Linked DNA regions of Tamandua tetradactyla. The protein of the gene in region 2 purifies or fractionates together with the protein of the main gene of each other region. This does not show direct contact. Links are inferred from orthologs where the notes say so. Each region holds a gene or a part of one and is shown on either strand. Other genes may lie near its edges.

Region 1 (3,749 bases), on a different chromosome or scaffold from region 2:
CAACATAAAAAGATGAAGTAAATCCTTTCTAGGGATCTTTGTAAAGTGGCTCACTTTTTCAACAAAATGTTGGAGTATTTACTGTATGTAAAGCAATTTTCCAGCTACTAGAATAAATATAAAAAGCCCTTGGCCTTCCAGGGGCTTTAAAATTAGTAGCCGAGGCAGTCAAGTACTGCCCAAATTACACAGAAGAAAAAGGTGTGTTCAACAGAGGAAGCAATAGGTTTTGCAGTACAAAAGATAAACTGTGAATGGAGGTCATGTTTGGGTAGCTTAAATGGGTAATAAATGGGTAATTTTATTTCCTTAAACTCTATTACGTCACGTCTGAGAATTTTTCAATTATTTCCATGAATTTTTCAATTATTTCCATGAGAGTTCAAGGGAAAGCTTAACTGGGATGAAAAGAAATGAACTGAACCCCAAGATGAGCAGTATTAGAAGCAAGAAAAGGGGATGGACCTCCTATGCTATAGAACAGCTTTGGTTATGATGTCACCAATTGTTCCAAAGATAACATAACAACCTGACCTCAGGGGGTCAAGTGAGAAGATATTTAGCACTTACTCCCTTAAGCCAAGCACTACCTTCTCCAGGAAGGCTTCATTCATCCTCCCATCCCTGGCCCAACCCATTTTGAATTAGGCGTCCTCATTTACATAACTCCCATAACACTTTGCATTTTTTTGTTCCATCTTTCATGCTCTAGTCACTTGTTACTTGTATATGTCCCCTTTACTGTCAGTCCTCAAAGTTTAGAACAGGGTACAATAAGCACTCAATCAATGCTGGCTGAGGAAATGATAAATGAAAATTAAAGAAATAAATGATTGTAATTATACCTATCCATGTCCTTTACATCATGTTTGCAAAAATATCTCCCATTTCCCAGCTGACACTAGCCCGCAGCAATACCTAGACAACAAGTGTCTCCACTCTGAACTGAACAGTAAGAACCCAACATATGCCAGGTGGACCAGGTCACTGTCTCCAAATCTGGCAGTTGTGTGTTAGCTGCCCTCCAGTATAGTTAGAGGATCCTGATGCTCCTAGAATAGTCTACTGGGGGTGCCAGTAACAACCAACATAGTAAGCACTGCATGTTCTGCACTTTTCAAAGCAATAGGTCTTTCTCTTCTGCATTAGTTCATGTGTGTTTACATTTTTGGACTGATGTTTGATAATTCCTATAATTATCCACTGTGTAAGGAATGATGTTGTGTTTGTCCTAAAACTAATTCCAACTTCCTTTAAAGTTCTAGGGAACATTCACATACACATTGTTCTCGTGTTCTTTTCTTTATTCCATATTTTTAAAAAAATCATTAAGCCCATTTCCATTAACCCTTTCTTCTAGTACTACTTTTTTTCTCACTTGAAAGCACATTTACACTAAGCATAACCAGCCAAGACCTGATTATACACCTCAAGATCATCTGATAGACTTACTCCTTGGGTCTTTTCAATATGTTATGTTTTTACTGTCTCTTAAATTTCTAATTTAACTTGAAAAACCAACTCAAGTCAGGTTCTGCACTAATATGCACGAACGTTAATAAAACTTTTACCGTATAAACCTAATAAATACACCAAGTCAGTTGAACATAAGCATTAAGTCAATCTGTGTTTTACGAACTGGCAACCTTTCTTTCTTCTTTCTTTTTTTTTTTTTTTTTTTTAGGGGCAGGGGGTGACGGGTGGGGAAGGTCGGAGGAAGCAAGGAGAGACACGTGCCCGACCAGTGACGAAAGAACGGCGGTGGGGGGGGGTGTGTGTGATAAGATTTAACATGCATAAATATCACGGGATCCCAACCTCGACATATTCCATATGTCGCCATGCAGTACCTCCCACCCTAAATGTGATCAATTTCAGAAGGCTGAGATCATTAAGAAATGCCAGTCGCTGACACTCAGATGCCATGTTACTGTACCCCGCTGGGCCTTCCCCGAATTTCAGACTGGCACCACTGACGAGAAACTCACAGGTCGAAGTGGATGCCAACGAGGCTGGAACAGCAAAAATGACGTCCCGGCTCGGCCCTGCCACCTACCTTCATCGTAGTTATAGCCTCGGATATTCCGATGCCGGGCCATGACAGCGGAGGGGGCGCTGACCACAGCCCCCTACAAAACACCCGCTCAGATACTGAACAGGAGCCAACTGCGGCCCAAAACACACCTATGCGCCATCTTGGCTTCCGGCAGGCCTCTGCGCCGAGCGCCTGCGCACGCGCGACGTCTGATCGGACGGCAGCCGCTCAGGGTCCCTGCACGCCTCCAGCGGACGCATGCGTACTCACGGCTCCAGGCAGGCCCCTCCTTCCATGAGATTGACAGCGCGCACGTTGGCGCGGCCCCGCCTGTAAACTGGGTGACCGAGGTGGCTCAGGAGCTAAGTCCCGCCGAGCACAATTTGTTAGTTTAGATGGAAAGTCTGCAGCGGGGTCCTTGATTTCCCCCAAGGTTCCAGATCATTTGTCTTATCCACCTTTCATCTTTGTGGTTCAATAGGCATTCGATATTCACGGCTTCCGTGTGTGCGGGAGTCGCCATTAGTCTGCCCTTAGTCATGTAAACGCGTTTTATCCGCATTCCTGAAGGAGCGCACAGTGAGCGTTCGCGGAACACGTAAAGCCGTGTGACATCTAGGAACACTAAATATAGTATTTTAAACATAGCTCTGGTCTTAGGCGGCAGTAATGAATGTTTTGATGCGTAATTATGTAACCATGACCGACTGTTGGATGTTGGAACATAAGACGAATGATGCGCGGTAGGTATTTGCGACCGCATTATCACACTGGACAAAACAGCCTTGAGTTTCAGCTTGTTTTTCGAAATGTTGATAACTTTACCTGAAAGGCAGATGCAGAATTCTAATAAAGCTTACTTAACTTTTTATTATCCACAACGGAAAGAAGCAGTAAGAATAATACATAGTTAATTCAGATTTCATGAGTAGCTTGGAATGTATTGTGCATGTGCATTTGAACGTGTCTGACTACGAGATGTTTCTTCTTAATTGTTACTTCTGTTTAATGTACTCCAAGACAAAATTTTACCCAAAAGTGGAGATAGATGTTAAATTTATATGGCTTGAGTGTTTTATTTTGCATATTTAGATTACTTTTATGGCACAATCTGTTTCTTTGTAAAATGGAGATAGTAGTAGTAGTATCTAATAGAATTGTAACAAAATTAATGTATCTGTGTAAGAGGATTTAGCACAGATCATAGTAGGTGCTTTGAAATTATGCTATTACAATAAAAATAGCAGCTTCCAACCCTCCCCACCTCACCCTCTGTAATTGTCAATTTCAAACTCAAATACAACTCACCTTACTTTGAAATGAATGTATTATGAATAGATCACTTGAACAAAATACCAAGGAAGGGCTGAGGAAGGAAAGCATTGCTTCTGCCCCTTGGGTAGTAGTGCATTTGCCTCTTGGATCATCATTAATGTAACCGACAAAGGTCATGGATTCTTTTGCCTAGGCACTCAATAACAAATTGTGGAGACACCAGGGTTTCAAAGAGAGAAAGAGTTTATTACGAGGCAATAGTGAGAGAGCAGATGGCCTATGGGCCCAAAATTTATCTCCCCAAACTGCAGTCATTCTGAGAGTTTTATTATTGAAAAGGATGGGCAGGGTTTAGGATAATGAGCATAGTGGTCCAAGTTGTAATTAGAGGTGATCTAGTTATTAATATGCCTAGATTGATGACATGTTTAATCACAGG
Region 2 (3,471 bases):
GAAGAGGAGCTTGCTGAAGCAGAGGTTGCCTTGGTAGGACAGGGCGAGGGTCTATCTCAGTCTAGGGGGCAAATGAGGGGAGAAAACTGCAGTTGAGAATGGGTGCCTGTGGTATTTTAGGAGCCCAAAATAAATGGTTAAGATGCACTCCAGGAGCTCCTAGGGGAAGGGGGTCAGCCAGTCCAAGCTGTGGTCCAGAGGATATGGGAGAAGTCCCCTATCTCCATGGTGGATACCCAAGGCCCCTTGAATTCACCCTCAGCCCCTGTGCTTAGGGCTCTGGAAGCCAGGGCCATATCTGCTGGTGTGAGGATAACAGACTGTGTGGTCTAATGGCCTGGCTCATCCTGCCAAGGTAAGCTGCCTTGACCCCTTCCCGGCACACACTGTTCTCTCAACCCAGGGACCCCTCTTCTGGCCCAACTACATCTTCCTTTTCAGGGCTTCAATCCAGACACCCCAAGAGGTATGTGTCTATGAAGGGGGAGGGTCCTAGGTCACCTCCAGAAGCCAGCACCAGGGCAGGGAAGTGCTGTGAGGAGGCAGGGGATTGAAACACTGGGGCACATCCAGGTAGGGGAACAGGGCTTTATTCTGGGGGATGGCTGGGGGTCAGTCCCCCAGCAAGAGGGAGGCCTCCTGCACATGCTGCCGGACCACGCGGTCCAGCAGCGTATGCACGGCATGGGCAGCCCGAGTGCCAGCCTCCAGCACCTGCTCCAGGTGGTCCTCATGGAGCCGGGCATCCATCTCCAGCAGCGCAATCTGGCCTGAAGCTGGCAGCAGGGCCAGGGCCAACTGGGGTCCACCAGCTGCTTCCTCCACGTGGCTCAAGTCTGCCAGCGCTGTGCCATCCACAAACCCAGCTGAACAGGCACACACAAAGTCTCTCATAGGTATCCCAGCATCCAGCACTGCCAGCGTGGCTGCATTCACACAAGCTGCATAGGTCCCGCCATCTGCCTGCAACACCTGCCAAAGGGACACCAAAGCCATTTGTCCATGAGGCTGCTGACTCCCTACCCTTTGTTCCTCCTATCCAGGCTGAGGGCTGTTGCCTGCTCACTTGGACATAGATGTCAATCTGGGAGCGTGGGTGCAACTGTGTGAGGATGGCTGCCTCGAAGGTCTGGCGCAGCTGCAGGCCCATCTCATAGGACTTGCGGTCCCCATGTGGCCGTCGCTTGCGCTCACCGGTGCTGAAGGTGGCCGAACTGTACTGGCAGTTGACCAGCGCCCTGTCAGGTAGAGCTCGTGCCCGGGAGCCCCGGATCTGGGGGAAGGAAAGGCACATGAGCCAGCCCCCTCTTCCCAGTACACACTATCCTGTTCTGTGACTCACAGTCTTACCTCAGCTCTCTCTCTCCACCTCCAACTCTCAGCAAGGAGCACCTACATTACCTCCAAAGCATGCCCCCAGGAAAGGCCACTCCCCAGTTTCTAAGCCACTGTCTTCTCTGGCTGTGTATGCCTTAATTGGCTTTCCCGTTACCATGCTTCCTGACCCTGAGTATGCTTACAAATATCAAGTCTGACTCATTTCATGCTTACCTTTCAAAGGCTTTCCGTCAAACATAAAATAAAATCCCAAGTCCTTTCCTCTTTTGAAACCACTCAACCTCACTTAGAATTTATACCCTGTCCCTCACCTGCAGCCTTTGTGCCCTGCAAACATGCCTTGCTTGTCCCCACCCCTCCAGCCTTCATGTTTCTGATCCCATCGCCAGGGCAGCTGAGCTCCTAGACTCACACGCTTAAGCAGACATTACTTCGGTGCTTTCACGGCGGGCACTGTTCTGGCACTAGCGATAGGGCAATAAAACAAGTGGCACAAAAGTCCCTGTTCTTATGGAGATTACATTCCAGGGGAGGAGACAAACGATGAGGAGGTCAAAATTGATGTCTAAGGCGATGGGAGGGAAGGGGATGGGAAGTGTATGCTGGCAGGGGTGGGTATATGCCACGCGCAGACGGTGGTCTGGGAAGACGCGGCCCTGGGACGGCGACTTCGGAGCAGACCTGAGAGGGGCGAAGGAGGGAGCGGTGCAGCCGGGAGAGTACGGACGCCACCGAGGGCGAGCACTCGACACCTCAGACAACAGCAAGGAGAAGTGCAGGCCGCACGGGACGGGGGCCGACGACCACCGTGGGAGCGGAGGGGCGAGAGGCCCCGCGTGGCCCCAGTGCCCGCCGGGGAGCTGCCCGGCCCGCGCATTCCCACGCCCACTCGCCTCGTGAGGCCCGTACACCACCGCCAGCGCCTTGGTGTTGCCCTGTTCGATATAGGCGGACCCGTCGGCCTGCGCAAATACGCCCATCCGCGCCTGGATCTTGCGCAGTTCCCCAGCGCGCCGCCCGTCCACGCGGTAGCCCTGGTCCGACAGTAGCTCCAGCCCTGCCATGCCGACAGCCGCCCGCCCAAAATCCCCGCGGCGCGGAGAGCTACGGCACCCGTTTCCGGCCCCAGCGAACTACGGCTCCCGGCGGCCGCAGGTTCCACTTCCGGCCCCAGGAAGCTACAACTCCGGGCGGACACACCATTTCCGGTTCCGGGTAGCTGGGGGTCTTGACCCTGGGGATGGGGAGGCGGAGCTGCGGCGCTTTTGAAACTGGTCTCCCGCGGCTGCTGGTTCCCGGGCGGGGCGGGGCGGGGAGCCCCGACGAGGACGAAATCCCTCAGCCGCGTCCCCGCCCTCCTGCCCCGGGGGTGTGTCGCGGAAAGCCCTTCTCGCGGGCCCCGGGGCTCCGCACCTCCTGGTCTGCCCGCTGGCCCCTCGTGCCCCCGTCCGGCCCACCTCCGGCCCGACCCTCGGCAGCCTGGCTCCACCTTTCTTCTTTTTGGATGAACAACCTTCCTTAGCCAACTTCATCTGTTCGCTGTGTCGACGCCCCGCACGGGGCGGCGAGTGTGTTCTGAAGCCAGTTCTGCACCAGCATGAGTAGATTAACAATCGTCTCTAGCATCGACTTCGCTGGCCGGAGCCTGACCAAATCCTCCCCCCTCAGCCCCCGCGGGACGAGCCCCCAAACGCCCACTCCAGCTCTACCCCGCAGAAGAGGAAGTGAGTCAAAGCAGGTGGTTTGAAATAAAGTTTGTTTTTCCTTCTTCTTTTTTTAAAAATATGTGAGCCTGTTTTCCAAGCTCGGACAAATAGCGGCCGGCCCACAAGGGGTGGACATCCACTGGCAGGGTGGAGGGCCTTCTGCGTGCCCTGTCTCTGGATTCCCTTAGTCTGATGGGGGGCTTGTAAGATCAGTCCCTTGATCAGGAGCTTGTCTCTTTGTCTGTCTTGTTCAGTTTTGTTCACTTCAGGCTCCTGGTGAACCAGCAAAGCTCTTCACCACTGCCGTGGAGGTGGTGGCTATGTGTATCTCAGGCTACCTCTTCTTGTCCATAGCAAGTGGATAACCAAATATACCTTGCATTTCTGCCCATTGGGAGGTTTCCCTTCACCACTGTCCTTCAGCGCC

Evidence for each region. Proteins that work in one complex are often made in the same cells at the same time.
Region 1: the proteins of EXOSC4 (region 2) and HBS1L purify together in Homo sapiens (affinity purification with mass spectrometry; 3 studies listed by BioGRID and IntAct, with this or other methods). This does not show direct contact. The link is inferred for Tamandua tetradactyla from reciprocal best matches to the Homo sapiens genes EXOSC4 and HBS1L.

The regions. Positions count from the first base shown.
Region 1 is NC_135351.1:35,359,540-35,363,288, forward strand, and holds the start of HBS1L (HBS1-like protein), read right to left. Parts: upstream 2,251-3,749; 5' UTR 2,100-2,250; coding exon 2,057-2,099; intron 1-2,056. UniProt on the Homo sapiens protein: GTPase component of the Pelota-HBS1L complex, a complex that recognizes stalled ribosomes and triggers the No-Go Decay (NGD) pathway.
Region 2 is NC_135332.1:82,575,905-82,579,375, forward strand, and holds EXOSC4 (exosome complex component RRP41), read right to left. Parts: upstream 2,514-3,471; 5' UTR 2,403-2,513; coding exon 2,232-2,402; intron 1,274-2,231; coding exon 1,067-1,273; intron 973-1,066; coding exon 613-972; 3' UTR 575-612; downstream 1-574. UniProt on the Homo sapiens protein: Non-catalytic component of the RNA exosome complex which has 3'->5' exoribonuclease activity and participates in a multitude of cellular RNA processing and degradation events.